Alligator mississippiensis: one gene and its partner. The protein of the gene in region 2 purifies or fractionates together with the protein of the main gene of each other region. This does not show direct contact. Links are inferred from orthologs where the notes say so. Each region holds a gene or a part of one and is shown on either strand. Other genes may lie near its edges.

What was found. Proteins that work in one complex are often made in the same cells at the same time.
Region 1: the proteins of YAP1 (region 2) and VCP purify together in Homo sapiens (affinity purification with mass spectrometry, with the first as the bait; 3 studies listed by BioGRID). This does not show direct contact. The link is inferred for Alligator mississippiensis from reciprocal best matches to the Homo sapiens genes YAP1 and VCP.

What each region holds. Positions count from the first base shown.
Region 1 is NC_081826.1:300,916,948-300,927,554, reverse strand, and holds the start of VCP (transitional endoplasmic reticulum ATPase), read left to right. Parts: upstream 1-5,892; 5' UTR 5,893-5,987; coding exon 5,988-6,004; intron 6,005-10,033; coding exon 10,034-10,145; intron 10,146-10,564; coding exon 10,565-10,607. UniProt on the Homo sapiens protein: Necessary for the fragmentation of Golgi stacks during mitosis and for their reassembly after mitosis. Involved in the formation of the transitional endoplasmic reticulum (tER).
Region 2 is NC_081824.1:441,909,257-441,919,535, reverse strand, and holds the start of YAP1 (transcriptional coactivator YAP1), read left to right. Parts: upstream 1-5,259; 5' UTR 5,260-5,390; coding exon 5,391-5,708; intron 5,709-6,502; coding exon 6,503-6,753; intron 6,754-10,279. Other genes in the region: CFAP300 (cilia- and flagella-associated protein 300), read left to right, coding at 4,618-4,743. UniProt on the Homo sapiens protein: Transcriptional regulator with dual roles as a coactivator and corepressor. Critical downstream regulatory target in the Hippo signaling pathway, crucial for organ size control and tumor suppression by restricting proliferation and promoting apoptosis.

The sequences.
Region 1 (10,607 bases), on a different chromosome or scaffold from region 2:
GGGCTGTGTCAATGCTTCTGTTAGGACCAAACCCAGAGGGTCCTGGCTAGAGGGTCTCGCCCCTCCACTCAGACTCGGAGCAATGCTGTACTGGGGGCAGGAGGGGATTTCCCCCTGGTCAGGCTGGTCTGGACTGGGGGGTTTTGCCTTCCTCTGCAGTGGGGGCACGGCCTCTGCCTGGGGTCTCTCGAGAGTATATTAACCCCCTTTGCTGCAGTAGGATGTTGGCTGCTGCGGCCCCCCTGCTTTCCTTGGGGCAGGGGCAGGTGTAATGCCTGGTGCTGTGTCAGGGTCGATGGTCGTTTTACTGGGAGATTCAGAGAATCGCAGACAAGGAGGGTGGAAGGGAGCTCAGGAGGTCACATCTAGTCCAACCCCCTGCTCCAAGCAGGACCAGCCTCAACTACATCATCCCAGCCACGGCTTTGTCTTCCTGGGTCTTCAACACCTCCACGGATGGAGACTGCACCGCCTCTCTGGGGAGCCTGGTCCAGTGCTTCACTGCCCTCCTCATGAGAAAGTTTTTCCTAATATCCAACCTCAACTTCCCTTGCTGCAGCTTGAGCCCATTGCTCCTTGTCATGCCATCTGCCCCCACTGAGACCAGCCCAGCTCCAGATCAGAAGGTGGATTTATAGAGTCTTAGAGCCGTGGGGCTGGAAAGGACCTGCAGAGGTCACATCTAGTCCAACTTCTGCCTGTCCAAACCATCCCAGACACATCCATCCTCTAAACTCTTCAACCCTGATACAACACCAGACATCACACTCGAACCTGCCACAGGCAAAGCGGGGGGGTCACGGTGATAAAAGGTTAACATACACTCAATATAGTCGTTCTGGGTTGGTTTGGACAGGCCGGGGTTGGACTAGATGTGACCCCTGCAGGTCCTTTCCAGCCCCACGGCTCTCTGATTCTATGATTTTATTCAGTCCCCACATACCCCATGTATCTCCTGTGCCAGGTTTGGCTGTACTGTCCTGCCTGTTGTCCTTACGTATTATGCTAGTTTGTACTGAGTCTGAACAGCCTTGAATAAATGCCAGAGGTTCGGATGAACCCCAGTGCCTTCCACAGAAGGCCTTTAACTGTTACCGCTCCTACCCTGCCTTGCAGCCTGTGCTCAGCCAAGCTAGCCCTTCCCTACTTGCATCGTACCCCAGGGGCTGCAGACAGCGCAGGTTGGTAAACCTAGCTCAGCTCCCATGGAGGTGGCGTCTCTGGGCATGGGGTGTGAAACTAGTATCACACCTGCTTACAGGAGACATCCAGACCCGTGGCAAAAGAATTGGGCAAGGTGGAGTCCCCTTCTCTGGAGGTTTCCAAGAGGAGGCGCTGGGCAGGGAGGATTGAGGACTGGTGCAGTGGGTTGGACCAGACGATCCTTGGGGTCCCTTCCAGCCCGGTGATCCCGGGAGGCAGACAGGCTGCTGGCTTCCCCTGCCGTCCCATGGTAAGGCGTAGTAGCAGCAGCTGTCAGTGTGAACCGTGCCCAGACAAGCTGCACATCATCCCCATCTCCATCCCCAGTCAGCCTGACCAGCAAACACCTTCCATAAGGAAAATTTAGCAAGTTTGGGGATGGGAAGGGGTGGGGATGGCTGTGCAAGGTGTGGGATAGTCTGATATCGGGGTGATACGGCTGGGACGGGAACCCCCAGATCAGGATGTGGAGCAAGCTCCTGGTACACAACAGCTTAAGACATTCAAAATCCAGGTGGGAAGTAGGACGACATTGGTTTTAGGCCTGTATAGAAGGAGAGTTAGAAATGACGGGGACCTGGTACTAGCCCAGGGGAGCCTACATGGTGCACTTTGTCACGGGCACACGTGTGTTAACGCCTTGTGCAGCAGATCACAAGTGTGTTATGGCCGTGCCTTGAGACAAGAAACCTGGCTGAGCCTTTGCCACCGAACCGAGCCCGTGGTAATTTAAGAGAGGACTGGTGTTGGGATCTCCTGGCTGTGACGCAGCCCGAGACTTCGATAATGCCCGGTGAGGACAGCGATGAGCGAGCCCCTGCCTCTCCGAGCAAATTAGTCTCTGAGGTGCCACCCTGCCCTGCCTTCTGCTTGGCAAGCCGTGGCGCAAAACCAGCCCATGTTCCAGCAGGGCGTGTGTCTGTCCCTGCCCTTAGATGTGCCAGCACCACGGAGAGAAACCGGCCGGTGCCCGGAGCAGGGCCAGCTGTCTTGGTTCTCCCGCTGGGCACCTCTCCAGGCCAGGACCTGGCAGGATGCTTCCCTGTGGGGGCTCTTGTCCGGCCCGGCTTTCCTCGCCCCTGCACGCAGGGAGGAGAGGCCTGGCCCAGGCACCCTGCGGGGCAAGGCGTAGAGCTGGGGGGCGTCAGCTGTGAAACACTCGGCCAACACCCCGGGGCTGTTGTGCCAGGGCTCTGTGTGCGTAACGGTGCCACGGTGCCGGATGGAGGGCATCCGGGGGCAGTCTGCAGGGCAGCGTGCAGGGTCTCTCCATCCCGTGCGGGTGTGTGTCTGTGTGTCCCACGGATAGTGGGGGGGTGTCACTCCTACTGTTAGTGGGGTGTGTGTGTCACCCCCACTGATAATGTGGGGGGAATGTGTCACCCCCAGTGATGGTGGGTGGGTGGGTGTGTGTGTGGTTGTGGCTCTCAGGGACAGTGGCGTGTGTCTGTGTATGTTCCCACTGACAGTGCTGCACGGGGGTGTTAGTGTGTGCATCTCCCAGGGACCGTGGGGTGCGTGTGTGTCAGTCCCACTGATGGTGTGTGTGTGTGAAAGACACTCCCCTGCCCCACAGCTGGCTGGGCCGCCTGTGCTGCAGGGCAGGAGGTGTCGGCAAGTGCATCCTCCTCCACATTGCCCCCCGGTGCAGTGGCACTGCCAGGCCCCCATCACGCTGGGCACTGCCCGAACCCCAGGGCTGGCGGGGTGCTACGCTGAGCTGCTCCCAGCGTGAGCGAGGTGGTGGAGAGGACCCAGGCTCCCTGAACCCGTCCGCGAGGCCGTGTGGCACCTGGCTGGTGACGGCACCATGTGGGAGCGGCTTGGCTGGGACGTGGCGTGGGCTCGTGGGAACAGCCAGCAGGCACCTGGCAGCCTCGGGGAGCTGGCACGCACACGCCTGGTCTGCGCTGCCATCTGCCAGGCAGACAGCAGTGTGTCACAGCAGCGCCCATGGCTTGTCACGCCGAGAACGCGGCCCAGGGACAGCACCTGGCAGAGGGGAAGTAAGGGGCTTGCTGCTCCCCAGCTGGCTAGTGCCAGGGCATCCCGGCTGGGGGTGGCACCAAGCAGGACTGGTCTCAGTGCGGGAGACGACAGGACAAGGAGCAATGGGCACAAGCTGCAGCAAGGGAAGTTGAGGTTGGATATTAGGAAAAACTTCCTCACTAGGACGGTGGCGAAACCAGCTCTCCAGAGAGGCACCGACCTGCCTCGTCCCCAGCCCTGAGGACGATGACTCCAGGATACATCTGAGCACCCCGGCCCGGGGGAGTCTCTGCGCAAGGTCTTGCAGACTGTACCAGGCCCACGTCTGAACTCAGTCAGTTGAGTTTCCTTTGTCTCTCGTGGCCAGGGCTCTTCCAGACTCCACACCTTTCTTGCAGCTCTTCTCTGAGCCCCGCTCAGTTTATCCATATCCCTCCTGTGGGGCTGGTACCAGAACTGTGCCCCGGGTCTGACTGGTAATGGTCTCACCGATACCACATCCGCGCCCTTCCCCTGCTTGCACCTCAACGGCTTAATCTGTTCCTTGCTGCGCTGGCAGCCCCAGCGCTCCTTGCTTATGAATCACGGTCCCCAAATCCTTTTCAGTCGCTGCCCTCGAGGAAGCTGAACTACAGCCCTTGCTCCTGGATGTGCACGTGTGTTTGTCCATGTTCAGACAAGGAGCTCAGCTCCCCGAGCAATCCGGGTTGGGCTGCACAGCTGCCCAGTTACCATTTTTAAACATCAATTTACCTTGTCTCTAAGTTTAATGAGCTATTATTTTCTTCTGGAATAGGGTGAATGGGGGACTGATCTGTACAGGGCTGGACTAGCATCTCCCCACTGGGTGAAAATGATTTCCCAGCTACTTTTTAAGTCCACTGGTTTATAATCGAGGTACTGTGAGCTGCCTTGGAATCGCAGAGCAGGAGGGTGGAAGGGAGCTCAGGAGGTCACATCCAGTCCAACCCCGGCTCCAAGCAGGACCAGCCCCAGCTACATCATCCCAGCCAGGGCTTTGTCTACCCGGGTCTTCAACACCTCCAAGGATGGAGACTCCTCCACCTCTCTAGGGAGCCTGGTCCAGTGCTTCACCACCCTCCTTCTGAGAGAGTTTTCCTTTATATCCAACCTCAACTTCCCTTGCTGCAGCTTGAGCCCATTGCTCCTTGTCCTGTCGTCTGCCCCCATGGAGAACAGCCCAGCTCCATCCTCTTTGCACCCCCCTGCAGGGAGGTGAAGGCCGCCGTCAAATCCTCCCTCGGTCTTCTCTTCTGCAGACTCAATCAGCCCAGGTCCCTTGGCCTCTCCTCACCAGTCCTGTCCTCCAGCCCCCAACCATTTCCATTGCCCTCCACTGGACTCTCTCCAGTGTGTCCACAGCCTTTCTGTAGTAGGGCCACAGCTGGACACAGGACTCCAGATGTGGTCTCCCTGGTGCTGAATAGAGGGGAAGGAATCACTGCCCTCCATCTGCTGGCAGCGCTCCTACCGATGCAGCCCAGGACGCCGGTAGCCTTCTTGGCACCAAGGGCACACTGCTGGCTCCTGTCCAGCTTCTTGTCCCCTGTCCCCCCAGGGCCTTTTCTAAAAAGCTGCTGCCCAGCCCGTCACCCCAGCCTGCACCGGTGCAGGGGTGCAGGACTTTGCACTTGTCCTTGTTGAACCTCATGCGATTCCTCTTGGCCCAATCCTCCAGTGTGTCGAGGTCTCTCCGAATCCCAGCATTGCCCTCCAGCGTATCTACTGCTCCCCCCAGCTCGGTGTCGTCTGTGAACTTGCGGAGGGTGTGCCGCATCCCATCTTCCAGGTCACTGATGAAGATGTTGAAGGAACCCGGGCCCAGGACCGACCCCGGGGCGCTGCACTGGTGTCCGTCTGCCTCGACTCGGCACACGCTGGCTTTTCACACCCCGCACGGCTTGCCCTGCCCTGCGCCTTGCAGGAGTCGAACGCAGGAAGCTGCCAGTCTCTTTGCGAAGCCGACGCGTCCCCACAGACAGCGGCAGGAGTAGCCGCGCTTGCCGACGTGCCGTGACGTGTGCTCCCCGCCGTTGAGTGATGCCTGCCCGTGGCCCACAACTGCTCTTCCACCGTGTTGTGCAGAAGCGACATCCCTTGGCGCTGCCACCGCCCTGTCCCTGCTCCCCAGCGCAGGGCCGCAAGGCACAACCCCTTTGCCGTGTGTCTGAGCACCCTGGACAGCCGGTTCAGTGCCAGGGGCAAGGGCCATAAGCACCCTGGGTGCAAGAAGGGGTGCACACCCCTCAGCCTGTGCAAGCCCCTGCCCCTGCATGGCCCTGCTGCACCCCTGCCCTGGGCCCTCGAGCCCCTGCAGCACGTGTCTCCCTAGAAGGATCAGCAGGCCTGTCAATCATCGCGCCGCCTTCCCTCATTGGCTGACTCCCTGGGCAGCAGCCAATGGAGCGGGGCTCACTAGGCAGAATGACGAAAAGGGCGGCCCCCACGGGCCGATTTTTCCCATTGGCGCATTTTTCCCATTGGCCGATCCGCGCCGCGTTGCCGGGCAGAACAACGCACCTGGCTCCGCGCGCACCCATTGGCGGCGCGGGACCGGGAGCCGTTGGATGATTGGCTCTTTTTTCCCATTGGCGGAGGCGCCCCGGCCCCGAATTTCCGATTGGGCGCGGCCGCCGGTTGCTAGGCAGACTGCGGCGGGCGGAGCTTCCCCCGCCGATGAGTCGGCGCTGAGGCGCAGTCAGAGCCGAGCGCCCGCAGCTGCCGCCGCCAGAGCCCGAGCCCATCCCTGCCTGCCGCCGCCCGCCACCGCCGCCATGGCCTCGGGATCCGAGTGAGTGCAGGGCCACCCCTAGGCCTCTCCCCGCGCCCCATTCTGAGGGGCCCCCGCGCATGCGCACTGCCACGCGCACCCCGTTCTGAGGGGCCCCCGCGCATGCGTACTTCCCCCGCACCCCGTTCTAGGGGGCCCGCGCGCATGCGCACTCCCCCCTCCCTGCACCCCGTTCCGAGGGGCCCCGCGCATGCGTAGCGAGGGCCGAGGCCTGGGCCCGATCCCGCTGTGTCATGCAGGCCCGGGAGGGGGGGCGGGCCCGGCGCTGCTCCGCCCCCAGGTGGGGGAGGGGCGTGCGGCCTAGGCCTTGGCCTGGTGTGCGTGTCCCACGGCCTGAGCCTGCTCCTGCTTCCTGGGGGGTGCAAGGGATGGTTTTGGCCCACGCTGAAGCCACCCCCCTGCTCCAACTCATCCTCCTTTGTCTGCCGGGGCCTCAACCCCCCCAAGGGTGGAGCCTGCACCCCTCCTCGGGGGAAACCCCTTCCTCATTTAACCTCGACTTTCCTTGCTGCAGCCGAAGCCCATTGCTCCCCTGTCCTGTCCCGCGCCGCGCCGCGCTCTTTGCAGCCCCCCAGCAGGCTGCCGTTCGAGCCCCGCTTTGGTCCTCGGACTTCAATAAATGTTAGGGGTTCGCCCGGCCGGCGCCCCTAGACCAGCTTCGGGGGGGAAGCCGCGTCGCGTGCGCGGTGTTTGTGTAAATATAGCCTTCTCCGTGGAGCAGCGAACGGGCGCCCGGCGGGAGCGATGCGGTCGAATCGGTCGATGCGAAACGGTTTACCGGCACGGAGAGGTCGAAACTCGTGTCAGGTTCGTTACGGAAAGCCGGCCTCCGCCGGCTCGGATACGACGTTGTCCCGTCTCCGTTCGCCGGGCGACGTCGCTGTCAGGAGACCGGCCGACCGGCGCTGGAAACGTCTCTTGTGTCCCCCGCACGTGGTCGCGCTGCGAACCGTACCGCAGCGCAGCCTGGGTTGCGTCACCTACGGGGTAAAGCAACAGCTTTACCACGGGGCAGATGATCGGCGGCATCATCGTTAAGTCTTTTTTTTTTCCCCTTCTCTTTTTGGCAGACAGAGCTTCCCTTGTAAAGGAAGGGACGGGGGTCTCTGAATGGGGAAACGCGGGGTTTAGGGCTGGGACCGTTCTGCCCAGAGCTGGGATCGGGCACTGGTTGGACTGCGCCGCTCGGGGGGTTACGGCCGGACCCCTGGACGGCGCTAGGGAGAGGGATGGGCGCGTGCCGTGCGCGCTACGCTTCGGACCTACGCATCTCTAAAACCAAAACGGCACGCCTGTCGCAGGCCTCCACGAGAAAAGAAAGCGACGATTCGTGCGTCGGCACGGGGCTTTTTGGAGCTGTCAAGCTCTCGGTCCCTCTGATTCTCCTCTCTGGGTGAAGCAACGTTTTCACTTTCGCAAGAAGCCATGATGCGACCCGCCTGACTTCTCACTTCCTTTCTGTGCGCCCATTCATCCTCCACCGCATTTCTGAGCTGAGGTGGCTTGCAGCTGGCCCCGTTCGTCTGGATGAACACGTGCCAGCATTTGGCATCCTCTCCAACTGTTAGTGCACCCAAGCCTTTCGCTCGCTGTGTGAGCTGCCGTGCGCCCCGTAACCTGCTTCGTCTGGCTGGTAGCGTCTCTTCTCTCTGGATTGTGCAAGTTCAAAGTCCTTCAGTGTGAAAACTCTCTTCCTCTGATGAATTAGCTCATGTTGACTCAAGTTAGGTGTCACCTGCCAGCGTGTTGCTCAACCCCCGGTGCGCTGAATGATACTTGAGCCTTCTCACAATCCTTCCCAAGTTTTTCATTTCTCATCGCTGTCTTGTCTCTGAGCTTCAACTCGCTGCCTGTTTCCTTTTCTGTTTTTGTAACGTATACGCGATGCCGGCCCCACAGTACCAACCCCAGACCCCCGCAGCCAGCCTTTGTGTCCTAAGAGACAGGCTGTGATTTGCAGTGGTGCCTTGGGTTGCTCCAGTAGATCGAGTCGTATCAGAGGGTCCTCGAGTGTACGTGCTCTGTACAGGGGGGGCATGACTTGCATTCAGGACTCCTCCCTGGTTGGAGAGGACTGTATCCCTTCTGTTGCAGAACTTGTGCTGGCTTTGTTCCCTGCGGTGATGTCACTTCGCAGCGCTCTCCATTAGCCAGCCTGAGGCTTGCCATCGATCGCCTCAGTACCACAGCGAGCTTCTTTGGTTTCTGACTTACAGGATCTCTCTTGGCTCCATCAAGTTCGTGGCTCTAAAGTTTAGCCGCTCTGAACTTCCCATCCTCCAGAGGAGGTGTGGCTCATGGAGAGCCTGCATCTCATTAGCTCACCTGTTGCTTCACCTGATGAGCTTAGCTGGCTCCGTAGCTTGCACATCTTGGGTTTCTTGTTTCGCTGTGTTACGATGGTCAGGACTGCCTGGGTGGGCTGCTGCTGCAATCAGTCCCATCTACAGTCACAACCAGCAGCCTCCCTATTTCTAATGAACGTCTGTCTGGGAATCGTGTGTGGCAGGTTCAGAGCAGCGCGTTGACACTCCTCCCTTACCTGGAGAGTTGAGAGGAGCAATCCAGTTATGAAGGAGCCGAAACACGCTCTGGGAAAAGTGACTTGTCCAGAGCTGCCCACACAGAGGCTCCTGCTTCCTGGTTCAGTAGGGTTTTTCCTTTTAGAATAGCTCTGCCCCTTTCTCCTTGCTGAGTCCTGCCTCTTACTTCCTAATGCTTTGCTCAGGCCAGCTTCCCAAACTGTTTCTAGATGGGCCAGCTGCCTTCATGTTCATCCTGTGAGAGTCTTTCTGAAGCATCAGGGTAGGGGGTCACTACCTCATTCGTTATCTGCTTCATCATCGCATTGGTGTGACTCTCCGGAGACCTCGCACCTGTCTGTCGCAGTAAAATATCTCCAAAAGAGCCCCTGAGCCTGCAAACCAAAGCAACGGGTCTTCCCCAGGCAGCACTCCTCCGCCCCGCACCTGCCTGCTGCCCTCCGCCTCCTCCCCTCCAGCCTGGGGCTCGCCAAGCTTTCATTTCCCCCTAATGGACTTGTCTGCAGCCATCCTCCTGGTCCAGTAAAAACCTGGGCTCCAACCCTCGGCTAAAGTGTGTTACTTTGGGGAGGCCTTTTATTGGAACCAAGCCAGGCTGTGCATAATATCATTGCTCACTCATTTATGGTATCTCTGAACCATCCAGAGGCGTCAGCCACACATTTAACAACACAGCATTAAAATCCTGCCCTGTTCTTGTCCCAGAACTGCCTGAAACTTCTGCAACCTTCTCCAGAGCATGGATTCAGATTCCTTTCTCTTTTAGTCAAGTATCTTTTGCTGGATGCATTATAACGTGAAACAAAAGCACTTTATAAATCTACTGTTTCACCCTTTTTTGGCCCTCCTGCTTTTCAGCTCACTCAGTTTGGACAGGACAAATGAAGTAGTTGGTTTCATTTCCCTTTCTCTAAGGTGCAAGTGAATGCTGCAAGGAAGCTTTTGCTGTTTTCGTGGACACTTGCGATACATAAACATTTCTGCTATATTTGCTAGCCTTCCCCAAGCTAAGCTCCAGTCCTCATCCAGTTTGGTGAACTGTAGCATTGTCCTGTAACTCCTCTTCAGCTGGGATTTGTGACCAAATGGGTTCTACCCGGTTGGCTGCACCCATGGTATTCCCTTTACATGTCATTGCAAATGTTAATCTTGCTACAATACCTTTGTTTTTAGGCAAATACATTCCAGTCAGGAACATTTTACTGAGCTGTACCCATTTTCTTAACTGTCTTCGTAGCTGTTTTAGTTCCAGGCTAATATAGTCCCTGAAATAATTTTCATATAGAAGATGTTCTTGGCATACCTCTTGCATTGGTTACCCTGTAAATGGTATTGCTCTTTGCCTTTCAAAAACCAGTGTAACTTCTAACAGGCAAAGTAACAAGAAGAGTTTATAGCTTGTATAGAACAAGGAAAGCAAAGTAGAGTATGGCTAGAAAAGGAGGAGCCGTGTCCAAGCTAAAGAGTCCTGTGTTTTCCTTTCCAGTTCTAAAGGAGATGACTTATCAACTGCAATTCTGAAGCAGAAGAACAGGCCCAATCGGTTAATTGTCGATGAAGCCATCAATGAGGACAACAGCGTTGTATCGCTGTCCCAGGTATGTGTCACATAAAGCAAAAAATTATGTACTTGATATGTGAATTATGTCTGTGTATTTTGGTCTGAAACTGAGTATTTGGTGAGAGGGGTTGAGCATGGGTTTGCTCCATGTAAAATGGCACGAAAGCTTAAGGGGAAACAACACTTGAGTGGTGCTGGGTAGAAATGAAAAGGAACTGTCTTCTTGTCTGTAAGCGTTTTGATCAAATATTGTGATTCTAGAAATAATGCTAGTGGTCAGTCGAACAGAAGGCCTGGCCCAGCTTCAGGGTTGGCAGTTGGCCTGCCATAGTGTGTCCTGTGGCACTTCATGACTCGTTCAGCACCTTCACTGTCAAGATGTAACACTTAAATCCGGTTGTTTTCTCTCTCAGACCATTACATTCCTGCTTACTCTAATGTTGTCATTGTTCACAGGCAAAAATGGATGAATTGCAGCTGTTCAGAGGAGACACTGTTT
Region 2 (10,279 bases):
GCATTCATGGAAGGCTTTGAAAAGGTTTCCTGAAAATAACCCAATATATATGTCATAATTTACTGTTCTCCTTCCTATTAAACTAAAAGTTTTCCAATTAAATAATAGATTCCTGGAATCAAAAATACCTTCCTAATATTTTTATTTTAACACAATAAAATTGTTTTCATAGCTATGTATCAACAATACAGATTTATATTTATGTTTATTCAGATTTAGGTAAAACATTTAAGGCCTTTCTAGGTTCCTTTGCCATACATTAAAAATATCAGCAATATAACAAGCAAGATTAATTGAGCAATTTATAAATTCTGGAAAACAAATAAATAGGGGGAAAAAATCCACCCTGCTCTTGTTTGAGGGGGGGGAACTGGCATTGCAGCAGGTTGTAAAATTTGGCAAATATGGGTTATTTTAGATGAAGGGAGAGGATGTTCCAAAATTCTGGGCTCTGTAAGGAGAACAGGCTGCAACTTCCTCTTATAAACCTGAGACTCCAGCTTCAGGATTTCCAGTCCCTACATATATGAGGTCATTTCCTGGAGTGAGGCGCAGCTTGTTTGAATAAGCAAGTTTCAAATGAGTTAAATGTACAGTCAAATCTTCTTAAACTCCATTGAAAAAATATGAAACAGATAGTGCAGATCCTAGAGCATAACTGACTTTGTGCTCTTGATGAGAAACTCTACTAATCAAAGCTGCACTGGTTTCAGTTTCTGAGTTGACTTTAAGGTGTAGCCCTGTGCACAGTACTTTACTGTAATCTAATCTAAGGTGAAAAAGGCACGGATCATATTTGTAACGTTTACTTCTGAAAGAAAGAGTCGCATCTACTTAGCCTGACAGAGATAAAAGAAACTCATCCTGGTCACTGGTGCCATCTGATAGTGTAACAGCAGCTGAGAATCTAACAGAACCCCCGTTCCTCAGACTGGAATAACAAATGATGAATACATGTCCTTAGCAAAAGGAGATAAAATCCTCCTCATATCTTTTGGCTGCATTTTCATTATCAACATAACTTCCTATTTACCTGGACCCTGACTCACTAATTAGTCCTCTTCTATAGATCAGTCTCTACAAAACACTAACTAGTTTAGATGATAAAAAAAGAGCTGGAGCTTTGTCTTAGTAACATGCCGAGCAATCTCATACCTATCTGTTCCATATGCTTGTTGGATTTATAAGCATTATCTTGACAACATGTTGATGTGAAAGTTGGTGATTAAAACACATAATTTTAGAAAGTGCTGCTATAAGTTAGTACTACATCTGCTTTAAAACTGCTTTTTAAATGTAATAATCTGATCTTGAACAAAATATTCAAAACAAGTGGTTTTCAACCTATGGCCCATGGACCCCTGGGGGTCTGCAGACTATGTCTAAGGGGTCCATGAAAGATGATTATGTTCAATCAAAAGTATGTGAATACCCACATTTACAGTTCAAAGGGGTCCGCACCTCCATTCATAATATGTTAGGGGTCCACAAATGAAAAAAGGTTGAAAACCAGTGATCTACATATATATGTATACAGCTTCATAGTACAGAGAGCACAGAGGAAAAAAAGGGGAAAAGGAAGTATTTGAAATCTTATGACAGTGTATATTTCTGAACTCTGAATGGTTTAAAATGTTCAGTGTTTGTGTATAAGTAAACTTCACCATGAAGAAATCTGAAACAATTGTGATACTAAATAATAACAAAAGAGTTTCTTAAATGCCAAATCAGCCCATCAGTGCTGTTGGCATCACTGTAATAAAACACATATTCCCTAGTTCTTTTAGAAGACTATTGATAAAGTGTTACATGTTTTCTTGAAGAGATCTTCAACAGTATAATTGTTTCCACAGTATTTCTCTCATATGCTGTCTGAAATCATCAGCAGATTATCTGTGTTTCTCTAAAGCCAGCAGCTTTGGATCTAGTTCTGGCATCACTACATCAAGTGCATGTTGCAGACACACCACCTGTTTGAACTTAAAACTGCAGATTCTTAATTTATGTATAAGACACCCTAATACTAGAGTGATGAGGCACTGATATATGTAGATAAAACTGGTCTTAAACTAGTTTAATTAAAAAGAAAGAAATTTGGTCTAGCTAAAATGAACTGAAAAGCTCCCAGGAGCAGATCCAAAGGGGCCCAGTTGCACTTCGTTTTCCAACCACACAGTGGGAGCAGCAGCCAGGGATTCTTTTTTAAAATCCTCAAATTGGGTAATAATTGCTCTCCTGCCCTCCACTTCATGTTCAGTGGGATGTCACCTCCTCCCCCACACCCCTGGCTGCTTACCACTAGTGCTATCCCCAGGTGCCCCAGGAGCAGGGGGAAATTCCAGAGCCTTTGCTGTCCCACTTTAGCCAGGCTGCCCAGGGAATTGGGCTCAGTTCAGGACAGTGGCAGTGGTGGTACCAGATGAGTACCTCTTCTCTGCCTAGGACTCCCACGTGTACTCTGCCAGCTTGGGAGCAGGCTTATGGAGGCAGACCCTACCTGCCATCACTGCTGCTGCTATCCCTGGCTAAGCCCAACTCCCTGCAGAGCCCAGCTGCAGCAGGGCAGGAGAGGCTCTGGAGCTCCTTCCTTCCCTGGGACAGCTGGATAGTGGGGACAGTGGCAGCAGGGGGCAGGGGAGAGGAAATGCCACTGAGCATGGAGGGAAGATTCTTACCTGATTTCAACACTTAAAAATGTGTTCCTATGGCATGGACTACCTGTCCTGCTGGAGTAGGGGAGAATTTGAGAGCTGGGGTACAGCTAGTAGTTGCTGCTCCTGTACCCTCCCCCCACTTTACAAAATTCAGGATCTGCCCCATGGAAGCTCCTCACATCATATGCAAGGGCACCAGTGGACTGGACAAAATGGAGATGGAACTATAATCCAAGTTCCTCTTCCCAGGTGAGTGCCTTAACCATCTGGGTAGAGCCATGCTCTCTCTTTGGCCCAATGCATGTTGAATTATTTTATTTAAAGTACAATAGTTGCAAGAGGATAAATGGAGGTTTCAGTCCCCCTAGGTTCATCTAAATTTCCCACTTTTTGCATGAGCCTGAATTGTGCACGAGGGGAGCAGCAGCATTCATCCCCCATTCCCCACACGTGCATTAAAAAAAAAAGTACCTGCCCCTTCACTTGTAAAGCCTCTTAGGAACGCTTTGAAAACATCTACTAAGAGATAGGCAGAAATCCAAGGCTATCTGGATGTAGTATACCAGTAACTCTGCTCATGCAGTGCCTGGAATAATTAACAGAGGTCTAAAAACAAAGCTAGTTACCTCAGGTGCAATGCTGCATGGACATGGCTATATTGCTTCTAGTCTGGGAGCTAGCATGCAAAAGCCGCTGTTATCCCTACATAATGGTTGGACCCATGTAGCTGTACTCTTGGGCTGCTTGCAGATGTTTTAAAAAAAACCCCAAAACTGCTTCCCCAGAAGCAGCAGCATGTTACTTCCACCCAGCTCTGCAGCATCTGTATAGATTAGGCACTTCAGCGGGGCTTTTTCGTGCTTTCATCTAAAGCTAAGTCAATCAGGTAGTAGATGAAAGTGCCCCAAAAGCCCCACTAAAGCACCTGATCTATACAGATGTTGGGTGAGCCAGGTCCAACTAATGTGCTGCCTCTTTTGGACATGTGCTGGGCTTTGTGCAGGAGCCCATCGGGTTTAAAGCAAGGTGCAAGTGGCCCTGGTTTCTAGATCTCCCATATGCTCAGGTGAGGCAGGTGCTAAGTTACTCAGCCCTGTTAAGATAGAAGCACTTTGGGGTATGGTCAGTAACAGAACTTGAGAAGTGAAGGACTTCAATGTACAACTTACAGGACAGGTGCTTGTAGGACTAGGCAGCAGCTGAGTGTGATTTATAGAACTGCACTTTTGGTGGAAATCACATTATTTACTCAAATCCAAAACCGTGAATTGAAGATGACCCCCACAATAATTAGAGTCTATACATGGCAGAGCAGGGAGTAAGGAATCAGGCAGTAGAGAAAGCAGGTGTTGTGGGGGTGGTGGAAGGGAGCAAGCAGCTTGTCCCCCACCACCTGTCCTCCCCCTATTTCAACCCCTGTGCTTGGCCCTTACTCCCTCTTACCTCCCCAGCCCCTTCCCCTCCTACTTACCTTTGCTCCAGCCCTGGCAGGCTCTGTCCATGCTGCAGCCTGGGGCCTGGAGCATGGGGTGCAGGTGGGGTACTGGTGCCACAGGGCTGGGTCGGAGCCATGCTCCAAGCCACAGCAGGAGATGGTGGCAGGGGTGCAGAAGAGCAGAGAGTGCAGAGGGGCAGCACCGGTCAGAGCCAGACACCCAGCCCTCTCCTGCCCTGCTCGGTTCCAAGACGAGGGGCTCCCCCATGCAAGGGGAGGACATCTCGTCTTGGGCCCGAGGCAGTGGGGTCGGTGCCCGAGGGCTGTCCTGGCTTTCAGCCGCCTGGCAGCTCAGCACAGCACTACCCTTATCGGTCCAGAAAGGCTGGAGAGGAACAGCTGGCGGGAGCGATCGGCAGGGAGGAGCTGCAGGGCAGCAGGTCAAGCGCTCCGGCCGGGCGGGGCGGGGCAGGGCCGGGCCGGGCCGGGCCCAGCGCCTCACGCCGCCTCCTCCTCTCGTCCCCGCAGGGCGCGGACGGCAGCTGCTTCCCGGGCCACGACCGGCTGAGCTTCGCCTACATCAGTGTGGACCCGCGGCGGCGACACGTGCACGTGCTGTCCCACTGCGCCGGGGCCGCCTCGCCCGCCCGCTGACTCCGCGCGGGCCCGGCCACAATAAACCTCCTCTCTTCGCCTCGCCTCCGTCTCCGTCTGTCCCCGCGGCCGGCCGCTCCCGCACCACCCGGGAGCCCCAGCCCGAGCCGGTCCCTGTGCAGGCCCCCCACCCCCGGCGCGTCACGCGGGTCCCGCCGGGCACCGCCCCCCGCTCCCGCCCCGCCCCCGAGGCCGAAAGTTTGCTGCAAAGTTTTCTCGCTCGTTTAATTTTGCGTTGCACGGACGTCCCGGCAGCGCCGGCCCGCGTGGGCGGGCGGGCGGGCAGGCGGGCTGGGTGGGTGAGTGAGTGAGAGGGGCGGGCCGAAGTCCGGGGACGCGGGCGGGCCGGGTGTGCGGGACAGCGAGCGGGCGCGCCGTGTCGAGCGGGGCAAGACGGAGGGGCAGCGCCTGGCGGGGCTGGGCCGGGCTGGGCGGGGCGGGACCCGGCGCGGGCGGGCGCGGACAGGGGAGGGGGCGGGGCGGGTGCGTCTCAGAACTTTTGTTTGGCCTCTTGCGCGACTTAGTTTCCGCCGCCGCCGGGACGGAGGCGCCGGCCGGGCTGGGCTGGGCCGGGCCGGGCTCGCGGGGCGGCCAGAAGCGGGAGCCCCGGCGGGCGCGGGCTCGGAGCCGCTGCAGCAGCAGCAGCCATGGATCCGGGACAGGCGCCCTCACAGCAGCAGCAGCCGCCCTCGCAGGCGCAGCCCCCGGCGCAGCCGCCGCCGCAGCCCGCCGGGGCTGGGGCCGGGGCCGGGACGGGCGCGGCGCAGCCCCCGGGCGCGGGGCCGCCGCCGGCCGGACACCAGATCGTGCACGTGCGGGGCGACTCGGAGACCGACCTGGAGGCGCTGTTCAACGCCGTCATGAACCCCAAGGGTGCCAACGTGCCGCACACGCTGCCCATGCGGCTCCGCAAGCTGCCCGACTCCTTCTTCAAGCCGCCCGAGCCCAAGGCCCACTCCCGCCAGGTGAGGCTCCCGCCCAGCCCCTCCGCGGCGCCCCCGGGGAGCCCGGCTTTGGGCCCGGGTCGAAGCAGCCCGGGGGCTGCCCCCGCTGCGGGGAGGAGGCGCGCTGCCAGGCTGGGACGTGGCCCGGTGCCATGTCCCAGCCCCGCTGTCGCAGCTGTGCCAGTGGAAGAGGGCTCCCCGCCTGCGGCGCAGTAGCTAGGGTCTTCCTGCTCGCTCGCGCACACAGCAGAAGTTTTGGAGGGCTTGACTCTCCTGCCCACGCTGGCAGTAATAGCCTTCCTGGTCCCTTTGTGGCAAGGTGGGGACTAGATTTCAAGTGGACGGGGATTTCGGCCCCTGATGCCTATAAGGAACCAGGGGTGCAGCTCACTTTTTTTTTTTGGATTTGCTCCTTGCAAGATGCGTGTCAAATGCTACCGAATCAAAATGGTCGTTTATGCTCTGTTGGGAACCATGATGCAACGCTCAGGGCAGTGGTGCATCAGGCATGACAGCGGGGGAGATGGGATCCTGCTCAGAAAACTGTAAGGCTTTTTGTTTGTGCGTTCAAAGTTTACAACAACAAAAGGTAGACGAGAAAGGTTGATAATTTATATTCCCCATGTCCTGGCAACAGCTTAAAGCTTGCTTTGACTTTGTTTAACTTGCTTTGAGCGACGAGCTAACAGCATTGAAACAAGTCAGAAGTTTGAAAACAACTTCTTATACCCGAGTCTCTCGCAGACAATTCAGTAAGGTCAAAGTAGGTGTGTTTCTGCTGAAGTATCTTAATGGGAACTGTTTACTCCCAACAGGCCAGCACTGATGCAGGTTCAGCCGGAGCCTTGACTCCTCAGCATGTCCGAGCTCATTCATCTCCAGCTTCGCTGCAGCTGGGAGCTGTCTCTCCGGGGACCCTTACCCCCTCTGGAGTAGTGACTGGTCCTGGACCTGCCTCATCTTCTCAACATCTCCGTCAGTCCTCATTTGAGATCCCCGATGATGTTCCTCTGCCACCAGGTTGGGAAATGGCTAAGACACCATCTGGCCAGAGATACTTTCTTAAGTAAGTAAAATAGAGTTATAAAAAACAAGGTTACATTTTTTAACGAAGCTCACTGTCCATGTTTAAGAACCTTTGTGTATATAAGAATATGTGCCCCTTTAATATATCAAATACATTTAAAAACTATGGGTCATGATTTTCAGTAGTATAGCTCTTTATCTGATTTGAACTGGGGGTGTAGATGTTGAACCCTGAAAGTTATGCCTAGGTGTGAGAAACATGCCTCATTCTTGGCATGTCTCATCTTGGATTAGTTATTTTTGGGCGTGTTTTTAAGTCTGTTGTAACATATAGTAACTTTAATACTTGGAGTACAATAAAGCAAGGTCATTTAAAGGTATACTTTGGGTCAGTATTTGGAAAATTGCTGAAAATGGATATCAAAGATTAAGAAACTTTCAGCAGTATTGCAGTGAGAATACTGGATGACTGCTGATTACTTTTTTTTTTCTTTGGAAGTACAGTGTCAGGTTCCTATGAAGTCTTATTGGTACATGAACCTGATGGGGCCTGTAGTTCTTAAAACTAACTTTGGAATGAAAGGTGAATGTTGGAATTCTTAAATGTTTTTTGTTTTCACTACTTTGGCTTTTTAAAGTAGTGAAATTAATATAACTTTTTCTCTTGCTGAAGAGGTTACACATGCCAGCACTCTGACATGTCATCCATCAGGAGATGCTCTGTAGAGTTTTCTAAAACAGCAGAAGCCTGTCCTCCTTTTTGCAAGTGTGTGCACAACTCTCGTTCAATCACTAGGTTTCAAGTAACATATTATTTGTCACTTCAGATTTGAAGGGACGGAACCACTAGCATTAAAAAAAAATTATATTCTTACTACCTTGCTAGTCTAAAAAGTGTTCTAAACTTTTTTGTGGTTCCATTTGCTGAAATAAAATATCCAAGCCTGAAATTATATTCGCAGAAGACCTTAATATCTGTGGCTGGGACATGCTTTCCATGTAACTGCACTATGGCTCAGAATGAAATAGGGACCTAATTCAATGCCCATAGAAGAAGCCCCCTTGAAGATTTACCATTGTTTCCTATGAAGCACAAAGTTTGTTCTTATGAAATATTTTGCCTAATTTCACTGTTAGAATTAGGCAGTTTTATGCCAGTTGAGAATGTGACCCACTGGACCTTGAAGAGCAAAACATAGTTTTCATATAATTCCAAAACTTGTATATTATGCTCGTTATACTCTTAACTAGCTTAAATAGAACACGACAAAGATGGTATTTAAAAAAAAAAAATGCTCTATCTGTAGTGCTAATTATTATTTGCATTTAGATCGATGCTTTAAATTTTATAGAGGGAGCATTACAGTTGTTGTGGTAGACGAAAAGAAATCCTTGCACTCCTATAATTGATTCTTTAATTATGCTCATTTAGGTGAAAGCAGAGGGAAGGATTTGATCTTGGAAAGCTTTTCTACAGTTTCGCTATTATTACAGAAAATCTTCCTTTTTTCCTGCAAGTTTTCTTTTTTGTCTGTCTTGGTGTCTTGGTATCCATTTCAAAGAGTCAGGTTTCAGCAAGAACAATAAAGAGCCTGAGACTGGAAAGTACACACAAGTCTGGCAAACTCATCTGCATGAGCAAGATCGTTTGTTCTCAAGCAGACATCCAAAGTAAATGATTGAAAGAGCTGCTAGCTGTGAAGGATGCGTCTTGAAGGGGAAAAGAGTGGAAACAAACCAGGTTGTTAGGAAGAAAAATAAAGGCTGTACTTTTTGAACCTCTCCCTGCTGGGTCACATGCTGACCTTGGGAGATCTTAAACCGCTTAATAGGCTGTTTTCTTTTTGCTTTCCTTGGGTGATGCTGTGGTTTGGGAGAGTCTGAGGACAGTTTTAAAGGCTCTGTTCACGCTTAGAAGAACTATTTCCCTCCCCTCCCCCTAATACAGCCTAAAATACCATCTACAAGTGGAATCTGCTAGCCTTGTTGCAGTTCAGAAGTATTTCTACTAACTTTATAACTTTGCTTCCTAAATTTGGAAAGCGCCAAGAGCTTGTAAAGAATTTCTTTTAACAAAGCAGTTCTGTATTTCAGAAATTGCTTAAAACTGTTGCTTCCTATGATTAAAAATAAAATGTGTGTTTAGCACATATATGCTTTTTTTTGTTTTGAGAGAGCTTAATTTTAATGAAGTAAATATTTAGATTTCTGCTGCTGAGCACATTTTGCTTCTAAAAAACTGGTTCCCTCTGCATGGTGTTTGCTCCACATCCAGGTATTTAGCTTCTTCATTGGATTGGCAGTGGTGCTTTTTGTTTCCATTTCCTCATTCATTAGAAACTCCTAGAGACCAGACAAGACCAGGCTTTTCAAGAAATACCTTTCTAAAGAATAGGTGAAAATATTAGGTGTGTGTTTTCCAGTTGTGAAGATCTTTCCAATTATCACTTTTCCCTATGATGCCTGGCTATCACAGTACTCTGCACTATAGCCAGTTAAATCCAGTACGGAAATTTCCACAGGGGAATCAAGAACTACAAATACAGCAGCTATCACTGGAGAGGCAGGTGAGAAGAAGTTTGAAGCAGCCAAATGTCTTGTTTGACCACACATTAATATAATACCACTAAATAGCATTCTGGGTGAACCAGTTTTTGAAATCCCAGCATCTATCTAGTCAGACTTGTAATAGTCTGTTTTAGCATGATAAATCTATATATGAACAAATTTAAATTTCTGACCAATACTTGATTTGCCAGTGTTTCATCACTATTAATGAGTTAATATTCATAGTACTTTCAAAACTAGGAGTTTTTATGAATGTGTCTTTTCTTCAGTGTAATATATTCCTGTTACAGTTAGTAGAATTCCCTACTTTGTTAAAAGTTGCTAACTTCAGTGAAATTGTGACCGGAACTCAGCAGTTATAATAATAATAATAATAATAAAAAAAGCCTAGTCTGGTTAGTCAGGAGGTGGAATTTAGTCAGCTTCATGCTATTATACACAAGAACTTAGACGGTTCTTAAACATACAATAAAGATGGCAGTATTGGTCAGTGGGGAGATGTCAGCTTCATTGTTTTTGAACCACTTCCTGTTATCCGGCTATAAATTGACATTTCAATTAACCGTGAAGAAAGATCTACAAAATCATTCTGTGCGCTAGAGAGACTATATGGTAGTTCAGGATCAGCCACTTGGAAAAGGGAAGAACCGTATGTTATACATGTGATGCATGTATTTTATAATCAATATTTATATCATTTTAACTTGTATAACACAGTACATGCAATTCTTGCAAAAAAGATACAGTAGTCTGTCGTCTTTTCTAGTATGAGGAAGCAGTTACTGTTCACCCCAGCTGTCTTGGTTTCTCCTGTAGGAAGCTGTTCTGTCTAGTAGTTTATCAACAACTTCCTATTTTTTCTGTGAAGTGTTGTATGACTTCCTGAATGAGGCCAACCTGGCTTTCATGGTATCTGTTCATGTGTTTGGGGCTTTACCTTATCCATCTAACAGAGATCTTACAAGTGGGCTATTGCTAGGTGAACATACAACCTTTAT